Linked DNA regions of Mus musculus. The protein of the gene in region 1 interacts with the protein of each later gene in a pairwise test. Links are inferred from orthologs where the notes say so. Each region holds a gene or a part of one and is shown in the gene's direction. Other genes may lie near its edges.

Evidence for each region. The genes of interacting proteins can lie anywhere in the genome.
Region 2: the proteins of Pak7 (region 1) and Inka1 interact in binary tests that used the Homo sapiens proteins (3 or more experiments, as listed by UniProt). The two-hybrid records come from large-scale screens. The link is inferred for Mus musculus from reciprocal best matches to the Homo sapiens genes PAK5 and INKA1.

What each region holds. Positions count from the first base shown.
Region 1 is NC_000068.7:136,381,418-136,391,988, reverse strand, and holds the start of Pak7 (serine/threonine-protein kinase PAK 5), read left to right. Parts: upstream 1-4,021; 5' UTR 4,022-4,295; coding exon of another isoform or gene 4,296-4,335; intron 4,336-10,571.
Region 2 is NC_000075.6:107,980,870-107,990,996, reverse strand, and holds Inka1 (PAK4-inhibitor INKA1), read left to right. Parts: upstream 1-5,080; 5' UTR 5,081-5,249; coding exon 5,250-5,300; intron 5,301-5,932; coding exon 5,933-6,730; 3' UTR 6,731-6,774; downstream 6,775-10,127. Other genes in the region: Uba7 (ubiquitin-like modifier-activating enzyme 7), read right to left, coding at 7,051-7,180, 7,634-7,734, 7,808-7,900, 9,416-9,607, 9,701-9,793, 10,038-10,120. UniProt on the Homo sapiens protein: Inhibitor of the serine/threonine-protein kinase PAK4. Acts by binding PAK4 in a substrate-like manner, inhibiting the protein kinase activity.

The sequences.
Region 1 (10,571 bases):
CAAGAGTTTATTTCTGCATTCCATTCCACTGGTCTAGATATTGGTTTATATGTTCTCTTTAATTGTTTTGGTTACTAGAGTTTTATTAAGTTTTCTAACCTTGTTCTTATTTTTCTAGATTGTGTTTGCTATTTAGGATCTCCACAGACTTCTACAAAATTTAGGATATTTTTTTTTCTATTGCTGTGAAAACATTGTTCAGATTTTCTTAGGATGACTTGTAGATTGCTTGGAGTAGTCTTTGCATTGTCTGCTGCTTCATGAACATGGATTATCTTTATATTTCTTAATGGGTCTAGTCTTAATTTCTAAGTGTCTTATTCTTCTTGAAACTACTATTAAGCTGATTGTCTTAAAAATTTTTCCTTTTAAGTTGTTCACAGTCAGTATATAAAATACAACTGACTTCTATGGGTTAATTATATATCCTGAACCTTTTAGCAATTGTATTAATTTTAAGGTGTCTATATGTCTCTGTGTATATGCATGTGCATGTGTGCATGTGCATGCACACCTTAAGATTTTCTATATATAAGATCCTACTCTATGAAAAAAAAAGTTGTTTACTTTTTTCTTTTTTCCAATTCTGGACTCTAATCCTCCTGGCTGTCCACACAGAATTTTGAAGTAGTAAAATTGATGTCTTTGTTTTCATCCTTTTGTCCCGATCTTAGAGGAAGATGTTCACTATTTCAGCTGCGCATGCTCCTAGTTATAGGAGGTTCAAGCTCTTCATTGTCCATGCACATCTTCTTGGTGCAGCAGCATATGGCAGGAATGCTGTTCTCGGAATGGCTTCTCTCAGCTGTTAATAGTAATAGTTCATGCTTGTGTGAGTCTATTTCTGGGTTTTCTATTTTGGTATCTAAATGTCTCACATGATTTTCTAGTTAAGACAACTACAATCTCAGTACTGTTTAGTCTAGAACCTTTATCTTTCAAAATACACTTGAGATAAAGTTGTCCAGGTCACCAAAAATTTTCAATGTTAATATAGAAATGTCACTGAAAATGTCACTTCATTTAGTATAAAGAGTACATTTTTTTTGACTAGGTTGAGCTTTCTAATATATGAATGTACAATATCTATATATTGGGTCTTTGATTTCATTAGTATGTTGTAATTTAAGAATATTAAGAATATGAGCCCTGAATGATTTTATTAAATCGTCTTAGCATTCTGTTGTTTTTGTTATTGTGTTTCTCATGTAATTTTCTAAATGTTCATGGTTTATATCTAGAGATACAGCTAATTTGGGGGAATGTTACAGAATTTACCTTTTTGTTTTAAGAGCTGTCTTGGAGCTTCCTTGTTAGCTTTTCAAGAGCACAATCAGTGGAATGCATGTAAAAAGTATTTTACTAATTCCTTCATAACTCGGGGTCTTTTATTTTTCTTGCCTAATTTCAGTTGCTATAATTTCTAGTAATATGTTGAAAGAGATGATGGATGAGTCTCTTCTTAGTTTTCCTGAATCTTAGGAGGAAACTATTTTTACTTTCTTTTTTAAATGGCAAGTTCACTAGAGGTTTTTTGTTGTTGTTGTTTGTTTGCTTTTTTGTTTGTTTTTGTTGTTGTTTTTTGTTTTTGTTTTTTGTAGATGCCTTTTATAAATGAGGCAATTCCCTCCCTCAGTTCCTGATGAGTTTCAAGTCTTTATTCAATAATGGGTATCATTTTTTCAAATGCTTTCCTGTATAATTTGATAGGATTTTTGAGTTTGTATGATGGATTATATTGATGCCTATTTACATATTAAGACAGCCCTGAGTTCCTGACATACATCTATGTAGAGATAATATATAATTTTCTCTATGCACTGTAAGATTCAAGGTAATATTTTTTTCTTGGTGTTTGGGATAAAATGTGTGGTGTTATAAGTGTTAGCTAAAAGCTTTTAGTACCTTCTTCATTTGGGTGGGAATGATCCTTTAAGTCACTCTTTAGTTCAGACAAGTTTTGAATTCATGATTCTCCTGTCTCAGCCTCCTGAGTAGCTGGGACCATGGACCTGTACTAGGATACTCAGCCCTTCCTGCAGCTCTCAGGAATGGTTGTTTGTAGGTTTATAAGATATATTGTTTAGAGGACTTCTCTTCTACTAAGTTTATTTGGTTTTGGTGTCAGGGAAATTATAGCCTCATAAATTAGTTGAGCCATGTGTTCTCTTGCTTTCTGGGAAATAATTGTGTGAAAATAGTTTTTGTTTTGTTTTTGTTGTTTTGTATTTTACACTACTTAGAGCGTTTCTCTAGTGAAACCATCTAAGCCTGGTAGTTTCCTTTGGAGCAGATTTTCATTTATGATTTTTTTCTATCAGTTGTTTCATGGCTATTCATGATGGCATAATTATAATATAAAATTATATTATTCAGATTATATAGTTCACTTTGGCAGTGTGTGCACTTTTTATTGATACTAAAACTACAAGTAAACTTCATCTTAATAAAATATTTCCTGTCATTTGCATCTGTCCAAGTCCACATAGGGGAAAGTAAAGAATAGAAAATATTATGCCAATGGCCATGGGACAGCAATCCAGTTGGTGAGAGGTGAGGTAGGGCTATTTGAGCAGTTTCAAGCATTGATAAATTTATTGACTTTAGTCATATGAATGGGAAAAATAGGATTTGATAGGCCAAGATACATATGTCCTTCACACTTAGAAACATCAGTGGAGAACAGTGACCATCTATCTGTTCTGTGATCTATTTTTTAAAGATTTATTTTTATGTGTATATATGTGTCTGGATGCTTCTTTGTGTACCAGGTGGAAAAAGGCACCACTGATACCAGAGGAGTGTGTGAGATCCACTGGAGTCAGAGTCACGTACAGCTCGGACCCACCCTATACAACTGAACCTGGGACCTCTGGATGGGCAACATGAGTTCTTAACAGCTGTGGCAATATCTTTAGCACCAGCTCCTGCCATGATTCTGTTTTGATATATAAGTTACTTCAGTGAAAGTAGTGTGTGAACAGATAAGCCACGGGGACAGGAGATGATAAGCATCTACTATTCACTAGCAAACTGGCCCTGTTTTATAACCGACTTATTCAGTTATAGGATCAGACACTATATTCTCATAAGGACAATCTAGAGATCTCTGAGGATGAAGAAGGATGTGGCTCTCTCAAAACCAAGATTAAAGTCTCTTGGTTGGTTTTGTGAATTGATTGGTTTCATGTGGGCAGTGACTAATCTCAATATTACCGATACCTCCTGTGGTCTTTTGCTCTCAAAAGACCAGTCAGTCTCAACTGTCAAGCCCAGCCTTGACATTACATCGAACCTCTCAGGTTTTGTCCCAGGCTCAGAGAAGACAGGTAGACAGTCAGGATAGACTGGTTCAGGCTTGAATTGGACAACAGGTCAACAACAGGTCAACTGACTGAGCACGAGTTTCCTAGTCTCAAGTATCAAAGCGATTGTGAATTGATCCAAGAGCCCATCGTCTCCGAAACTCCTAATTCTAGATCAAACTAATGGTTTTATGCTGTCTTCAGTGTGTGCCCTACAAAGCCTCTTTCCAGGAAAGGCATGACATCCCAGGGGACATCCTCCCTTGAACCGCTGCTATCATCAAAAGCTGAAGGTAACTCCTTAGGCTGATAAGTCCATTGCTGATTAAAGACTCCATGACCAATTAGAGGTTATAGAAGATGTTTCTGGATTCTTGCACCTCCTGACCTTTCAGAGGACCAGCCGAATGGCACGGGGACTTTCAGGACCAGGCAGTTGAATCCAAATCTGTATTTTAAATCAAAGGCTCATTAAAGTTTGCGAAGCACAGGACCAGGTGATGCTAAAGAGACTAGCTAGCATACTGATGTAGTGCGGCTTTGCAAAGGTCCTATAGAAAATTTGGACAAACTGGGATGTTCAGGGAGGGGTATGCGGGAGTAGCCCGCAGGGGGATGGTAGAAGGAAAGTGTGATCCGATTGGCTGTTTTCTCCAGCTCGGGCGTGCAGACACTCCCTCCACACTCCCCCTTTCACCCCCCTCAATTGCTACAGCTTTCCTACAGCGGGCTGCTCCTAAAACCCGGAGCAGCTGAGTGGTCTCAGCGGACAGTCCTCCTAGGGGCGAAGCCAGGCGGCTTGGGCATGCTCAGTAGCTGGGAGAGGTTTGGGAGGAGAGTAAAAAGCTTTGACTCTGCCCCCACCCCCTCCTCTAGCCCCCGCCCCCCTTGCCCCTTCCCAGCCGTAGTAGTTCCCTGGCGTGCGCCCGTGGAGAGCAGGAACATGGCGCTTGGAGCGATATAACAGATGTAGCAGCAGCGGAGAAGCAGATGAGGTACCGCGACTTCTCTGCTGACAGCCAGCCACCAGGTAGGCAGGAGCACCGGGCAGGTCGGCTTATGGGTAGCGGCTCCAGAAGGGGCGCTTGCCAAGATGCGCACGGTTGCTACACCGGGCATCTGGCTTTGCCTAGAGAGGATGCGAAAGGAGACCTCTATGACAGCACAATTGATTGTGCATCTCCTAGGAGATGCCAAAGGCTGGGGACCTCTGAGAATGGGCAAGGGATCCAGGGTCCGCCCACTCCCCAACCCCCAATCTTTGCGATATCATCCAGCTTGGGCTCTTCACCGGTCAAATAAAGGATAGCGCTCTTATGCTAGGATGGAGGGCGTAGGAGATCACCCTGGATGCCAGCTCTAGGAGTCTGCTGGTACCCCGAAAGGCTAGCAAGCCCAGCAGCAGTTCTTTGTGTATGCACTCGCGCACGCCCTGCCGGTGATACGACAGTGCCTGCTGCTCCCAGGGAGTGCTGGATGCATTGCCAGGGCAGGGTTCCCATATGGTTTTTGTCTTTTAGCAGGTGTGGACCACCAGATGCAATAGCGGAACCTTTATGGGACTGTGTTTTCCTTTGTTGTTTGTCTCTGTTCGCTTAGTGGGTTGCAATGGATTGGGAAAGAACTTCTGCTTGTGAACATTGGTGGACAGAATGTGGAAGAGAATATCACTTCCAAACTCTGGTTAAAATTCTGTACAATGTCAGTCTCCTAGAGGATAAACTTGGAAAGTCTCAGGACTGTCAAGTGTCCAGTTTAGGGCACAAATGTGAGCATCCGTTTTGAAACCGAGTGTGTCTGGAGCTTTCCATTGTGATAGGGTAGAAGTTAATTTGCCAGCATTCATATCTCAATTAAGGGAGCCCTAACCTTTCAAAGAACTGAACAGATCTTTTAAATATTAGAGTAGTAAAGAAAAAAATGTCTTGGCCAATAATTGATAACGACTTGGAAAACTGGATACACTTCTGGGGAAATAGGTACTTCACAAAACATCAGAGACCCTCTTGTGGCATTTGGTGTAAAGGCAGCATCTTTAATTTACAGATGGACACATTACTCCCTGAAGAAGTCCCTCCTACACAAGCCTTCTTAAAGTTGACATTCTGCAACAACAGATGTGACACCTTACAGTTGTATCTGTTATGATTAGCAGCATAGCCCCCTGAGAGGGAGGAAAGGTAAATTTAGAACACACCTTCATCCCCTGTTTTATCTTTTCAGGCTGGGCATCTGTCTGTGAATATGAAGTTTAGATACTTTCCTCTGCACTTACACTATTTATTCTTATGATCTCCTTAGGTGGCAAGAATGAGTCAGTATTGTGATAATGAAACAGAGACTGCAGGAGGGAAATGAATTTAAGTAGAGTAAAGCTATAAGTGTCCAATCTGATAACACCTTGACTTTGAATACACGTGTGCAAAGCAGAACTTCTAATGAAAGCTGTAGAAGCTAATGGCAAGTTCATTGACAATACTTGTAGTAGAATAAACTTCGTGTTCCTCTGTGAATAAGAGATTGATTGTACTCAGTCCTTGCAACTTATCATTTAATTAACAAACGTGAGTTTTGATTGTAGGCATTGAAAGCCGAGGTTGCCAATGCCTTTCCTACATCCTCAGAATATGCTGCAATGGACAGGCACCAGAGACAGATGTTCTGGAATACAGTGTCATTTTAGTGATGAGATAAAGCTAAATTTGAACTCTGGTTCCTCCGTATTTAGGTGTGGGATTTTGTGGAAGTGATTTAATGTATCAGCAACAAAGACTTGTGATTCACAAAGCAAAGCCCACATAAATGGATAGATGTAGACATTAATAATAATACAAAGAAACTGGGCATGGGGAAATCTCTTTGAGAAGGACATGTATGTGTTTGGAACCCATGTTATATGTATTTGCTATGCAAGTCAAATTCAATTTACTTTTACTGAAATACTCCAAATTGTTTTATTTCTTAGCACTGACATAGCCATACACCCCCAACTTGGTAGCTTAAAGAAGTAGAAATTTATTGATGCAGATCTGGGTATTTTCTGTCTAATATCTCAGTGTTAGCATGGCAATCCTCTGATGCTCTTAGGAGAAGGTGATTCTTATAGTCTTAGACATACCTTACCCCAATCACGTTATTCTGTTTCTACCTTCATGTCCATGTGTTCTCCTCTCTGTGTCTGTTCTCCTGTCCATGTTTCAGTCTTTATGTAAGGACACTGTTCCTATATCATTTAGAGCTAACTATAGCCTTGTCTTAATTCAATTACAACTGCAAAGATCAGACTTGTAAAGTAGGTCACATGGACAAGTTCAGGGTTGTCATTGAGTTTAGGGGAGAGAAAATTTAACTTACTTTACTAACTTTTCTAATAACAATGATAGGATCAATACTATGCCATCAAGTTTCAGAATATGAAGAATAGTATGGGTTCAAAAACCCTGCTGGCATGGGATATTTAATGTAACTAACTTATCTGAATTTTGTGTTCCCAAGTGTGACAGTGAAGGGAAGGGTGATAGACACGTCACCATGAGTCACTTACATGAAAACTGAAACAAAGTGGGACTTAGGCTTTCTATACGTGCTGAGGAATTTCATACGTCTTCTCCCTTTTGGGCTATATTACTAAGTCAAAACACATCATCATCAACAACACCTACAACATAACAGCAAAAAAATGAAAATCCTACACCTTTTCTTCTTTTTAATATATTTATTTTTATTTATAGATATACATTTTATTAGCTCCTTGAGACTTTCTTATATGCACATAATGTATTTTCTTCTTATTCACTCTGTCACTCCTCTATCTAAATCCTTCCATGTTCCTTCTAAATTTATGCTCTCTCTCTCTCTCTCTCTCTCTCTCTCTCTCTCTCTCTCTCTCTCTCACACACACACACACACACACACACACACACACACACAGGGATAGAGATAGACATAGAAACATAGAGAGACAGAGATACAGGGACACAGAGAGAGACAAGAGAGAGTTTGGGCTGCCTATAGACTCATGGGTTTAGGGCCATCCAATGGAGGGTGGTATTTATAAAGCATGTTTGTATATGTATATGTGTATGTGTATGTGTATATGTATGTACTATGTGTTTCTGTGTGTGGGATGTATGTACATGTTGTAGCACATGTGAAGATGTCAGAGGCCAACTAGCAGAAATAATTTTTCTCCTTCTCTATGTATGTTCCAAGGATTGAATTAAGGTCATTAGGTCTGATGACAAACACCTTTTACCTCCTGAGTTATCTCAACTGTTTATAGCTCTTCTTCTTCTTCTTCTTCTTCTTCTTCTTCTTCTTCTTCTTCTTCTTCTTCTTCTTCTTCTTCTTCTTCTTCTTCTTCTTCTCTTCTCCTTCTCCTCCTCCCCTCCTCCTCCTCCCCCTCCCCCTCATCCTCATCCTTATCCTCCTCATCCTTCTTTATCACTTTATTTTTTGTGGGGGATTTAAAAAATTAGTTCTCATGATTTCTAATCATTAGTTCTTCAAGAATTCCACACACTGTCTTTTGACTATAACCAATCCTCCTAGATCCAATCCCCATAGCATTCCCACTCAAATTTTTTGTTCCAATTTTTTTATAACCCTTGAAGTCTAATTTACGCTGCCTATATATTGGGTGTGTTGCTGTGCATTGGAGAGTTTACAGCTACCAGACACCACACCATTTAAGAAAACTGCATTACTTCTGTCAGCAACTGAGAGTTTCCAATATCTCCTCAGGCAGGGCTGGGACTCTGCCCATTTCCCCACTTCATGGCTTGAGCGTTTGCAGGTCTTGTTCCTGTTGCTGCAATAGCTGCAAGTTCATAGGTGCAACTGTCTTGTTGTGCCAGGAAAAGGGCTGTTTCCTTGTCACTCACAGCTTCTCTGTTCCCCTTCTTCAATGATTACTGAGTTTTAGGAGGGTGATATCTGGTCCTGGGTAGGAAGGCAGAACAGAAGGTATGGGGAGGAATAACTAGCATCAAAGACCTTCTAGAAAAGTTACACGAAAACCCATTACTTCCTAAACTGTAAACACCACATCACAACACACACACACACACACACACACACACACACACACACACACACTCACTCACTCACTCACTCATACACAATGGACTTACTTTATATCAGGGCAATAATGCACCTACTAGGTACCATAGGTTAAGAAACAAGGAGAACCCTAACAGGATTATCTCTACTGGATTTTGTTGTCCAGTAATGTCACTTAGATTCCCCTAATACCACAGCTTTGCTTTGCTTTTCTTATTGTGATAAATGGTATACAGTTTATGAAGATCACTTAAGCAGAATAGCAGGCATCACCTTTGACACTTCCATTTCCTTTGCCCTGAACAGCCCAAAGTGCCACATAGTCTTAAAAATTGAAGCTTTGGTATCTTTTTCTAAAATACATGTTGCCATCTCTGACACTACTATAAAAGACAAAGCCATATTCTCTTCCCTAGATCATGAGTACAACTTCCTAAGAAGATTCTTTTTTCTTGGTTGTTCCCTAACCTATTACAGAAAATAGGGTGATATCAATTCCTTGCATAAAATTCTACCTAGACATTTGTTACAGTTTCCAGAAATGATAGGGATGGACCAAACTTGTCCAGCTTCATTGTGGGCATCCAGAAAATCTAGAGATGGACCGTATTTATTCAGTCTCATTATGGGCATCTTGGATCTGTCACCTTGACCTGCTGTCATAAGTGTCCAATATCTCATTTCTTTTGCTCTGCAATTCAACCTACTTTACCTCTTCCTCATCATCTTAGCTCTCGCAATACTTTTTTTTCTTGTCTTTGGTAATAGTTTCTGTCATAATTTATGTTTACCTACTTGGTCTTTTACTTCCTATGAATGTCCATTAATTTTGTTTCTTGTATGCAGAAGTTGCTTAATCTGTGTCTGATGGATGAGTGAAGGAAGGAGTGCTCTGAATCATAGCATTTTTCTGTACTAATTTGAAGACATTATTTTTTTAGAAACTTTTTCTTACTAGTATGAAAAGAGCAGTTTAGAACCTCATTCTAACTTTAAAAGAGGAGCATTCTTGACTTTAATAAATGCATTTTCTAAGAATCCATTTTAAGCTAGCTAACACTTAACTGCATATGAGTATTTGCTAGCAACTGAGAATTTTGGAAAACTACATCAATAAATATTTTGCAAATATGTGTCACATGGGTGTGATGTCATGCTCAGTCTCAGACAACAGCAAACCAGGTCTTTAGCCTTCTAGAAACTAATAAATAATCACATTATGTGACAATAATACAATTAATTACTGATATTGGATTGTGCACCAAACTCTCTTAAGATCTTCCTCAGAATCTTCACTGGGATTATCCAATCTTCCCAAGAACACATCACATGACATATATCATTAGTATGTTGATGATTTGATAAATCTATCATTAAGGAGTCTTTCAAGATAAGACACTTATGCTTAGCAAAAGGAAAAAAGGATGTTTTTTTCTTTTTCAGAAGAATGTGCAGTTTCTGAACCAATCTATATGAGCTCTGTTTTTATTTTGAAACTACTTTGCTCTTTGTTGTTGGGATTGATATAAGAGAGGAACTGATTTTTATTTGAGAAAAAGCACCTGGTATATTCCAGTCAAAATTTTTATATATGCATGCTTTTGTTGTTTAGTTTGTCTTACATAATTCTTTTGTTTGGGAAACACTGTACGCTTGAGAAAAGTCAGCACAGTGCAGTGTAAGAATCTGCCACATTCTTTTGATACCTAAAGTAGCTGTAGGTTCACATCCTTTTTATATCCTCTTGAAAAGTTATTCTATAAAATAATAAAATATCATTTAATCTGTATTCATAAATGAAAATTTTCATGCAAGTAGCCAAAAATCAGAGCGTGCCCTGATTTTTTAGTTATAAGTGATTGGGCCAGAGTTGAATGAATTAAAACCCAAGAAACTAATTAAATGACTTAAGAAATATGGCTGATTATAAAATACATCTCAAAAGTGAAAGGCTACACCAAATATCACCACTTTATGATGAAGACATATTGAAAAATCATACTATTCATGCAGCCATGAGTATATAAACTATTTATAAAAAATAGGAATTGTTCATAGGTAGATTACCTGGGTGTAAAAAGGAATATGTAAATATTTATGCAGAAATCTGTGAAATTTTTTTCTCAAGATGCATAAAACTAAGAAACAAGGAAGGAGAAAACCATTCCTTATTTGTGCTCAGAAACATAAACATTATGAAATAGT
Region 2 (10,127 bases), on another chromosome or scaffold:
GTCACCACTGCCTGGCTACTTTTATTTCCTATATGAGTGTTTTGCCTACATATATTATGTGTACCATATACATGTCTTATGCCCACAGAGGCCAGAGAGGGTATCACATTCCCCAGAACTGGAGTTACAGATGGTTTTGAAGCAGTGTATGGGTGCTGAGAATCAAACCAGGTCCTCTGCAAGAGCAGCAGCAGATGTTGGTACTGAGCAATCTCACCAGCCTTAGTTATCTTTTTAAAAATTTTAGTGTGTGTGTGTTTGTGTGTGTGTGTGTGAACTTGGGCATATGCTATAGCACTTGTGTGGGGGTCAGAGGACAACTTTCAGAAGTCAGCTCTCTTTTACTATAGGACTTGAACTCAGGTCTTAGGTTTTTCATGATCCAATAAGCCATCTCACCGGGTCTTACCCTGTCAAAAGAAACAGGGTTTCCTTACGTTGCCCAGGCTACCCCTGCTTCAGCCTCCCAGGTAGCTGAGACTGCAGGCACAAGCCATTGCATACTCTGAAGCCAGAAGGTTGTTCTTTTGTGTGTAAGTGGAGGTGTGTGTTTGGATTGGTACTCATGTGGAGGCCAGAGGCCAACCTCAGGCACATTCCTCAGGAGCTGTTCAGCTTGGTTGGTTCTGTTGTTTGGAACAGAATCTCTCTCATTCTCTCTCTCTCTCTCTCTCTCTCTCTCTCTCTCTCTCTCTCTCTCTCTTTGTATTTTTGTTTTTTCGAGACAGGGTTTCTCTGTGTAGCCCTGGCTGACCTGGAACTCACTTTGTAGACCAGGCTTGGAGATCACCAGCTCAGCAGGTTGTCTGCCCTTATCTCTCCTTCTCAGCACCGGGGAATTACAACAAACCATTGCTGCCACGCTTGGCTTTTTTTGAACATGGGTTCTGAGTATCCTCAGGTCTTAATTCTTGTAGTGTAAGCGCTTCGCTGACTAAACTGTTTCCCCCCACTCCAGACATGTATCCTTTGCTCTCACTCCTCCTAAATACCTGATGCTTGCTCCCATCACCTCCGACACACCCATGCTGGCTCAGAGTTCTCCTATGTCTTTCTATTCTTGGATAGCTCCTCGACACTTCTGCCTCACCTTTCCTACCTCCAACCAGTGAAATGTTTCCAGGCCTGGAAAATGCTTGCCTCTCCCCTCCTCTGTCTACATTCTCCACCTCCGTCTCCTCCAAGGCCATGGCCTAAGATGCCACCCACTGGCTTTACCCTCCACTCTGCTCCACCTCAGTGTTTCTCTCTCCTGAGCTCCGCACTCACACATTTTGCAGTGGACCCTGCTTCTCCTCAAGATTCACATGTCGGGGGCTGGAGAGATGGCTCAGCAGCTAAGAGCACACCGACTGTTCTTCCAGAGGTCCTGAGTTCAATTCCCAGCAACCACATGGTGGCTCACAACCATCTGTAATGGGATCTGATGCCCTCTTCTGATGTGTCTGAAGACAGCTACAGTGTACTCATATACAATAAATAAATTAATTAATTAAAAAAAATTCACATGTCTACAAGGAGAATTTGCTTCTTTTTTTTTTTTTTCTTTTGAAGATTTTTTTTTTTTCAAGGCAAGTGTCTTTCTACATAGCCCTGGCTGTCCTGAAACTCATTATGTAGACCAGGCTGGTCTTGAACTCACAGAGATCTGCCTGCCTCTGTCTCCTGGGTGATGGGATTAAAGAAGGTATGTGCCATCATGCCCAGCTTAGATGTGTGTGTGTGTGGGGGAGGGGGTTGAGACAGGGTTTCTCTGTGTAGCCCTGGCTGTCCTGGAACTCACTCTGTAGACCAGGCTGGCCTTGAACTCAGAAATCCGCCTGCCTCTGCCTCCCAAGTGCTGGGATTAAAGGCATGTGCCACCACTGCCCGGCTCCCAAAGCATTTTTAACATAGTATTTTTCAAGACTACTATAAGAAACTAGTATGGACTGAGTGGCTTAAACAGTAAACATTTGCTGGGCAGTGGTGGCGCACGCCTTTAATCCCAGCACTTGGGAGGCAGAGGCAGGCAGATTTCTGAATTTGAGGTTAGCCTGGTCTACAGAGTGAGTTCCAGGCCAGCCAGGGCTACACAGAGAAACCCCTGTCTCGAAAAAAAAAAAAAAAAAAAAGCCAACCAGTAAACATTTAATTTTTGAGTTCTGGAACCTGGAAGTGACTGCTGAGCAGTGTGGGGGCTTTTCTGGGAATCCTGCTTGAGGTTTAGTAATAAAGACCCAGAGACGTTTGTATACCATAAGGCTGTTGGCCTTTGCTGGAACAGAACCTCAGCTACCATCTGAACTCAACCCCAAACCCCTGCCGTTGTGTCCCTTCATGTGGCTCTCCTGTCCCTCCATCCCCTTTCCCCTCACCCCCACCCCAAGCTGCCAGTTCTTTGTTCTCCAAAAAGCCACATTACAGAAAGAGAAGCAATATGATGTGGGGGAAGGGGTGTGTCTGTGGGCCCATGCTGAGGCATCCCTTCCCCCTGAGGGGTCGTATATACTATGCTATTTATGTCGTATAGTATAGAATAGAGTTTATTCAGGGCATGGGGGGAGGAGAAGAAGGAAGAGGAGGAGGAGGGAGGGAGGGAGGGAGGGGGAGAGAGAAGGGGGGGGGGAGGCCAGCCATGAGTACATGGAGAGAGGGGGAAGGGAAGGGGGGGAGGGAGGGAACAAGAGCAAGAGGGCAAGAGCCAGATTTTCTTTTATTTTTTTTGTTCTAACTACCTGAGTGTCTTACCTGATATACACATGTGCACTGCATGTGTACAGTGTCTACAGAGACCGGAAGAGGGAGGAGGACCCTCGGGAACTAAAGTTACAGAAAGTATTTCTGGGAATCAAACCAGGCTCCTCTACAAGGACAGCCAGTGTTCTTAACTGCTGAGTCACTTCTCCAGCCTCTCTTTCCAGTTTTTACTGGATTGAAATAAAATCTAGCTGGATGCTGGTGGTGCTCACCTTTACTGCCAGCACTCAGGGAAGCACAAGTAGGTGGCTCTCTGTGAGTTCGAGACCAGCCTTGTCTACAAAGTGAGCTCTGGACAGCCAGGGCTGCTACACAGAGAAACACTGTCTTGAAAAAAAAAAACAAAAAACAAAACAAAAAAAACAAAACAACAAAAAAGAAAAAAACAGGGATAAACAAGCAAAAAATAAGAATTTTATCTAGTCACACGTGTGTAAATCATATAGCATCTTTCTAGTTACATGTGTATAAATCCTACAGCATCTAGCCAAAAGATTCTGCTTTCAGAGCTGTCCTTCTGCCTGCGCCCCTTCCTTCCTGTGATGTTTTTCTAACTGCAGACCAGATCATAGCTGAGGGTCCCTTCGCTGGTTTCATAGTCCTTAAAAACAAAACAAAACAAACACCTAACTAAAACCAAGGAACCACACCCAGGGGGTAAAGGCTCCAAGTATTTAGACAGCAGTTTCAACAGCTGTGCAGAGCTAGCTCCCATGCTGCTCTGTAATTCACAGATTATCCCAGTTTTACAGAGAATCCAGGCCTATTTGGATCTGGCCCACATGCTTTCTACCGGACCATACAGCTGTGAGGCCAGCTTTGGTGTACTCTTCAGTCTTTGTCACCATCGTGACCGGCAGCGCTGTCTATGGGAAGGGGAAGCAGAGGTTTCTTCCTCCTGGGTGATTTTAATGGCAGTGCCATCCATCCAGCTGTTCACACTGGAAACTTGGAGGCCATGCTTTACCTACCTGCATCAGTCAGGCTAGAGTTTAGCTCTAGATTCTGGAGTCTAGAACGATGCTTCTGATTACCCTCTGGGTTCAGAACCAGGCTTTCAGACACACACCCTTGCCTGGGATAAAGGCTAGAACCTCCTTTGATTGCAGAGTTCTTCTCCTAAAACAACTGTATCTCGCAGAAAACAGCCTGGGTCATTCCTTTTAAAAAGCTCCATGCTCTCTCTATGGTACCAAAAATAAAGCCCAGAGACTCCCCTAAGTCTTCTTATGGTTTTGATGACTTCTCTCCATTCACAGACCCCTGACCCATCCGTCACACACATCTGTGTTTTCCTTTCGTTTGGTCTGCCTAGCCCTGTCCCTCAATATACTTTACATTGGCAGACCCTTTCACCTAAAATGCCCTTCCTCACTGGACTCAAATGGATTGATCTGATATCAGCCATATCTTTTTAAGAGTTCTCTATCCCTTAACTGAACTCATTGTCCTCGTTCTCCTGTTATTTTTTGTCTGAGGATAGATTCAACCTGTCTTCAGTTCGACTGTACCTCTGGTTATGGAGTGGCCTCAGGGGAAAGGCTTTAAACAATCGAGCCAAAGAGCAGTTTTCCTCTTCCATTCCTGCATGCCATTGTGAGGGTGTAGTGAGGATGCAGACCATAGCCCCGCGATCCCCACTAGAGGGCGGTCCAGCCTATCTCGGCTCAGATCAGGCCGGAGGGAAGGTGGAGGGGATTTTGCCTTGGCCATTCCCTTACTCTCTCTGTCTTAAGGCTCTTCACTGACTATTCGCCGGCCGGAAGGAATTTCGGTCCTATCATTTCCAGGGATGGTCAAGGCCAGCCTGGACAGACCCCGAGTGGGCCACAACCTTGTCAAATCAGAAGATAAGGCGCGCCGGGCGGTGGTGGCGCACGCCTTTAATCCCAGCACTTGGGAGGCAGAGGCAGGCGGATTTCTGAGTTCGAGGCCAGCCTGGTCTACAGAGTAAGTTCCAGGCCAGCCAGGGCTACACAGAGAAACCCTGTCTCGAAAACAAAAAACAAACAAACAAACAAAAAAGAAGAAGAAAGTGCCCACACGTGGGTGTGGCATCGGGCCCCAGTACAAGAAACCGCTATTTCACCAGGGGACAAATTGCACGGGACGAACGTGCGGGGGCGGGAGGGGGTCGTGTCGGGACTGCGTTACAGCCGGGTTAACTAAACTTTTTGAGACATAAAGGGGTCCTGAGCTGCACTCTGGTCTCCCGTGCTACTACAGCCGGGCTCCACCAGCAGAGTGGGGGCTGGAGGGCGGGGCTGAAAGGGGCAGGACAACTTCATCCTGCCCCGCCTCCATTGGCTAGGGCGCCGGGGAGGGGCGGGGCGCGGCTGCCAGATGTTGGGGCGGCAGCGGCGGGAGCTACCGAGAGCAAGGAGCCTTAGAGTAAGGCAAGGGTGAGGACGCCACCACCCGCGGGCCGACCCGGCCCACTCTGCGCCGCTCCCGCGGGTGATCGGCGGGTGAGCCGGCCGACCTGGAGAGTGTACAGCACCAGCACCAGCATGCACAGCGCTCGGCTTGACAGCTTCCTGAGCCAGCTCCGCTGGGAACTGGTGAGTCTTTGGAGTGGGTGTGGTTGTGAAGATGTGTGTGGGGTGCGTGGCTGCCGCCTGGATGGAACAACAAACGGCAACCGGGTGGACTCCGGGTACCCATCTGAGTCAGGATGGGGGCAGGGTAGCGCGCTACAGATGGCCCAGATGGCCCGCTTCGGGTTTCTGACGGTTGGGAATTGTTCTGGGCATCAGGTAACAGGCGCCCAGCTGGCCGTGCTAGCGGCAGGGGTTGGCGGGGAAGGAGAGTTGGGGAAGAGAAGTTTCTTTTGGGGACCGACAGGGAGCACCCAGGGCCTAAAGAAGTGCTGTGCTGCTGTGGACATCCCCTACCACGGGCTGGCCTGTACCTCCTTCCTCTACTCTGCCTGCCCGCCCTGGTGGCGCGTGCTGACTTGCCCGGCCCTGCGTGCTGCAGCCTGCCGGACTGCCACCAGCTCTGCGGATGGGAGCCACATGAGCCTCGAGTGCCAGTGCCCCCATGTGGGCCCTATGCTTACAGTTCCGCCTTGCTGCCCAGAGGTTTTTCAAGTCCTTCTGAAACCTCCGTTCTCAGGGCTGGCTTGGTTAGACACTAAGGAGTCAGGGGCTAAGAGATTCCTGACCAACATTTGCCCTATCTTTCTCTCCAGTTGTGTGCTCGGGACACAGGCTCACCTCCAATGTCTGGCCCACTGCAACCAAAACCCAGAACTGATCAAAATGTACAGCCAAAGCGCCAGTTCAGGGCCTCGGATGTTTTGGAAGAGGACTCTGTCTGCTGTGTAGAAGAGGAAGAGGAGGAAGGCTTGGTAGCAGAAGACAAGGGTTTACCCTTGGGATGTCCTAGGGAGCATGCTCTAGACTGGGACTCTGGCTTCTCCGAGGTGTCAGGCAGTACATGGCGAGAGGAAGAGCCGTCTGTACCCCAGCGCCAAGCACCTCGAGAACGTCCACCTCATAGCCAGCGTTTCTCAGTCAGTGACATTCCTATGCGCAGTAGGGCAGCTGTAACCAACATACCTCCTGCCCACCGTCCGAGGCCCAAGTCCACCCCAGATGCTTGCCTGGAACATTGGCAGGGATTGGAAGCAGAGGACTGGACGGCAGCCCTGCTGAACAGGGGCCGCAGTCGGCAGCCCCTGGTGCTAGGGGATAACTGTTTTGCTGATTTAGTTCACAATTGGATGGAGTTGCCTGAAGCAACCAGTGAGGGGAGTGATGGAGATGTACCCCGAGCACGGGCTCGACCCCCTCAGTTCCTGCTTGGTCTCTCTGAGCAGCTACGGCGTAGGCTGGCCAGGGCTCGACGGACAGCTATGGCAAGCAAGAGGTTGTCCTGCCCACCTCGCTCAGAACCTGACCTGCCTGCAGACATCTCACGATTTGCAGCCCTCATGAACTGTCGAAGTCGCCAACCTATTATCTACAATGATGTCAGCTACCTCTGACCCTGCCCCTCCAGCTAGGGACAATAAAGGCTTTTTTTCCTAAACTGCTGGTCCCATACTCCTGAGGCTTCAGGAAGTATCTCTGGCCCTGTGGAGCACAGCTAAGACAGGCCAGTCTAGAATGTTCCCTCTCCTTTTCCAGGGTTCCTGTCTTACCCGTATCACCTGTGTGTACCTTACCATTCATTTTCTACCATCCACTTCACTTGTGCCTTCCGTCAACAAGTTTTTATTGTTGAAGTATCTGCTGTGAGCTGAAGATGTAGGAATTTTATGCAGAGTTTGTTATGGCCAAGTGGTGGCGTGGTGTGGCTACCTCGTCACAGCTCATAATGCAGAGGTGGGAAGGCCATTTCTTCCTCCTCGCCCTCACAGCTCAGCTCAAACACCAGAACCTTCAGCCCAGGCTTGGGCTTCCAGCCGGTCACGTGCTGAACCAGTTCTGTCACCCTGGTATGGGAGGGGGTTTAGGGGAGACTCTGTAGGTGGGTCAAGGCAGACAGAGGGCAACCTAGTGTGGACAAGAGGGTGCTGGTGAGCCCTCAAGAGCCCCAACCAGGAGCAGGAGCGGCCCAAGGCAGGAAACATCTGAAACTATTTTAGGAGCAGCTGGTGGGGCAGGCAAGAGGCAGGAAGCTGTTTGTCCCTCGAGAGCAGGCTGTGAAGGGAGATGGGGGCTGGGCAGGGTATGGGAAGCCAAGGGGGCTGGCCAAGCAGACAGCTACTGAAGTCCCCTTCCTCTGGCCCTTAGCTCCACCCCCTCCCAGGCCCATTTGTTGGCTCCATTTGGTGGAAGAATGCTTCAAGAAGGTGTGAGGGGCCTAAAATGGGGTGGAGAAAAAGACCTTGTCACCCATGCTCAACCTCCAGGGACATGGTAGAGCCTGGCTACGACCGGCTCACCTGAGGCACAGGTGTTGAGCCTGCTTTTCAGATGACCATCCTGAAGAATAGAGCAGAGCCTGGTGGTGGAGAAGCATCTCCACCTTCAGTCCATGTTCTTCCTAGAAGGTATACATCAGATGCCCATTGGGCCAGGCTGGGCTGGGCCAGGGGCTGAGTGGAGACAGGGCATACCTGGAGATGGGCCAGCAGTGACTTCAGTGTCCTTTCAGGCTGCACAGCGGGCACCTTCAGGCGGTCCCAACAGGTCCATTTCAGGTCACGGAACTACAGGATGGAGAGGAGAGGGATCTAGAGATTTCTCACACAAACCTGCAACCCCTGGCCCAGTTAACCAGCAGCTTTTCCTAGAGGAGGAGCCGCTCTAGAGGCAGGAAGCTGCGGCCAAGGGGTGGGGGGGCGGAAGGTGGGATCTGGGCCCAGAGTCTCAGCCCCCTCCCCGCCCAGGCTGGGGCCAGCACAGGAAATGGAGCTATGGGGCCCTGTATGGGGAAACAGACGTCCATCGCACAGGCCAGCTGGAGAGGGGGAGACTGGGGCTGCTTCCTGAGGAAGCTGGAGCTGCGTCGCTGGAGTCTCCGATAAAGCAGCTTGTTCCTCTAAGGGGAGGCTGGGAGCCTGGAGATACAGCTCATGCTACTCAGCCCTTACAAACAGGGCTTCAGACTGCTCGCCGGCATGCAGAAACCAAGGGCATGGTAACAGTGGAACCCTATTGACTCAGAGGGTCCCTGCTAACACGGATACAGTCTACAGAAACTTTTATCCTTGTCCCATCTTCTTCCCAGGTCAAAAGTTTTGGTACCTATAGCTGAGGGCTGATGATGTAGCAGGCATCAGCCCTCCCAACCATCAGAAAACATACTGGGGTCGAGCTGAGACTAGGCTAAAGGCAGGATGGGGACACTTACCCACCCCCATTCTATGGACAAAGGCAGCCTCTGTGCTGGTTAACAGTGGGGCACCTCACAAAAGGGTTCTGTGTGCTTGTCCAGAAGGACCCTAGGCTAGCTGGTGACCTCTGTCCTCTCTTCTAGTGAGGGCATTTATTCTGTCCTCTTTCCTGTGCCTCGGGGAAATGCCAACTGGGGCAGAGCCTGGGCACACAGTTGGAGGCATTGCCATCCTGTCTTCATGGGAACAACCCACCCCCAACATACACACACACACACACAACCAACAGCACCCACGTATGTGCCCACACGCACATAGTCACATTGAGGAAGATCCTGTTCCTCCATCTGGCACACAGATGTGCAAGCCTGATTCATGTCCACATACCAGGGATGCCCAGACCTTGGTGCACTCCTATGTAGTGGTATAAACATTCTGTCCCATAGGGCTGAGGCCCACGCTCCTGGTAGCAAGCCTGATGCCCTTTAACTTGGCTTAAGGTGAACAGAACAGGGCTCCTCAAAAGGAAGCTAGATTCTTTCTGTGGCTGAGTCTACAGTTGCCCCTCCCTCCTCCTTCCCACCAGGATATTACGGAGAAGGAGAAGGAGGGGGCCATGGGGGATGTCTGGCTCCACTAATGAGTTAAAGCTGCAGCTCCCCCAGACCCTGGACTGCAGGGAGGCTGGGGGGTATGGCTGATGGCTGTTTCCTGTGTCTGACAGGTCCCAGTCTAGCTTCATAGCAGGAAGGGCGCTGGATGCAGTCTAGAGGACTCCCCCATAGTCTGGGGCCTGGAGAGAGCCCACAGCTAGAGAGAGAACTGTTTGCTTGGGCAAGTAGAGGGAAAATTCAGGCCCAGTAGGAACAGGGGGCATCAGAGGCTCACCGACTGGACGGCTGGGGCAGAAGGCGCTGAGCGGATGAAGTGGTTTTCAGCCAGGTGCAGATAGCTGTGACGAAAGGTACCATGGGATCGGAGCCCGCTTACCACCTTATACAGCTCCAGGCCCAGTAAGCCTGCCACAACTGCTGTACTGGTGGCAATGGCTGGGATAATCCGGCCCACGATTTGCTTGATCTGTCAAGGACAGGGCATTTGGTCTGGGCTCAAGGTTCAGGGATAAGGTTTGGCTCTCACTTCTAGGCCTGAGCCCCAAAGGGGTGAAGTTACCCGAGCATGATTAACTGGTAGGATCCCGTAGTTCTGACATCGCAGGTCTGTCGCTGCTACCACAAAGTCCACATGGAAGTTGCTGTCATCATCCTGCCAGGCCCAGATCACAGGAGTGTCACACTGCAGTGGTATCCCTCAGCATGGCCACCTGCAGGCCACTGACAGGTGTCTGGACAGTTTTGTGGTTGGGTAGCCACCATCTCCCGCCTTTGCCACACAGTGTGGCCGAGATGCGAGGGGTGTGAGCTGCTTCCACAGCCTTGACGGTTCTCAAACTCCCCTGCTTCCTTACCTCCCCACCAGCCCAGTTCTTCACCCCATCTTGGGACCCCACCTTCACAAACAGCACAGGCTTCAGCGGGGGCCCCTTCCTCCAGTCGTCCAGGGTTTCCTGCAGTTCCTTCAACTGTTCCTGGCCTGTCAG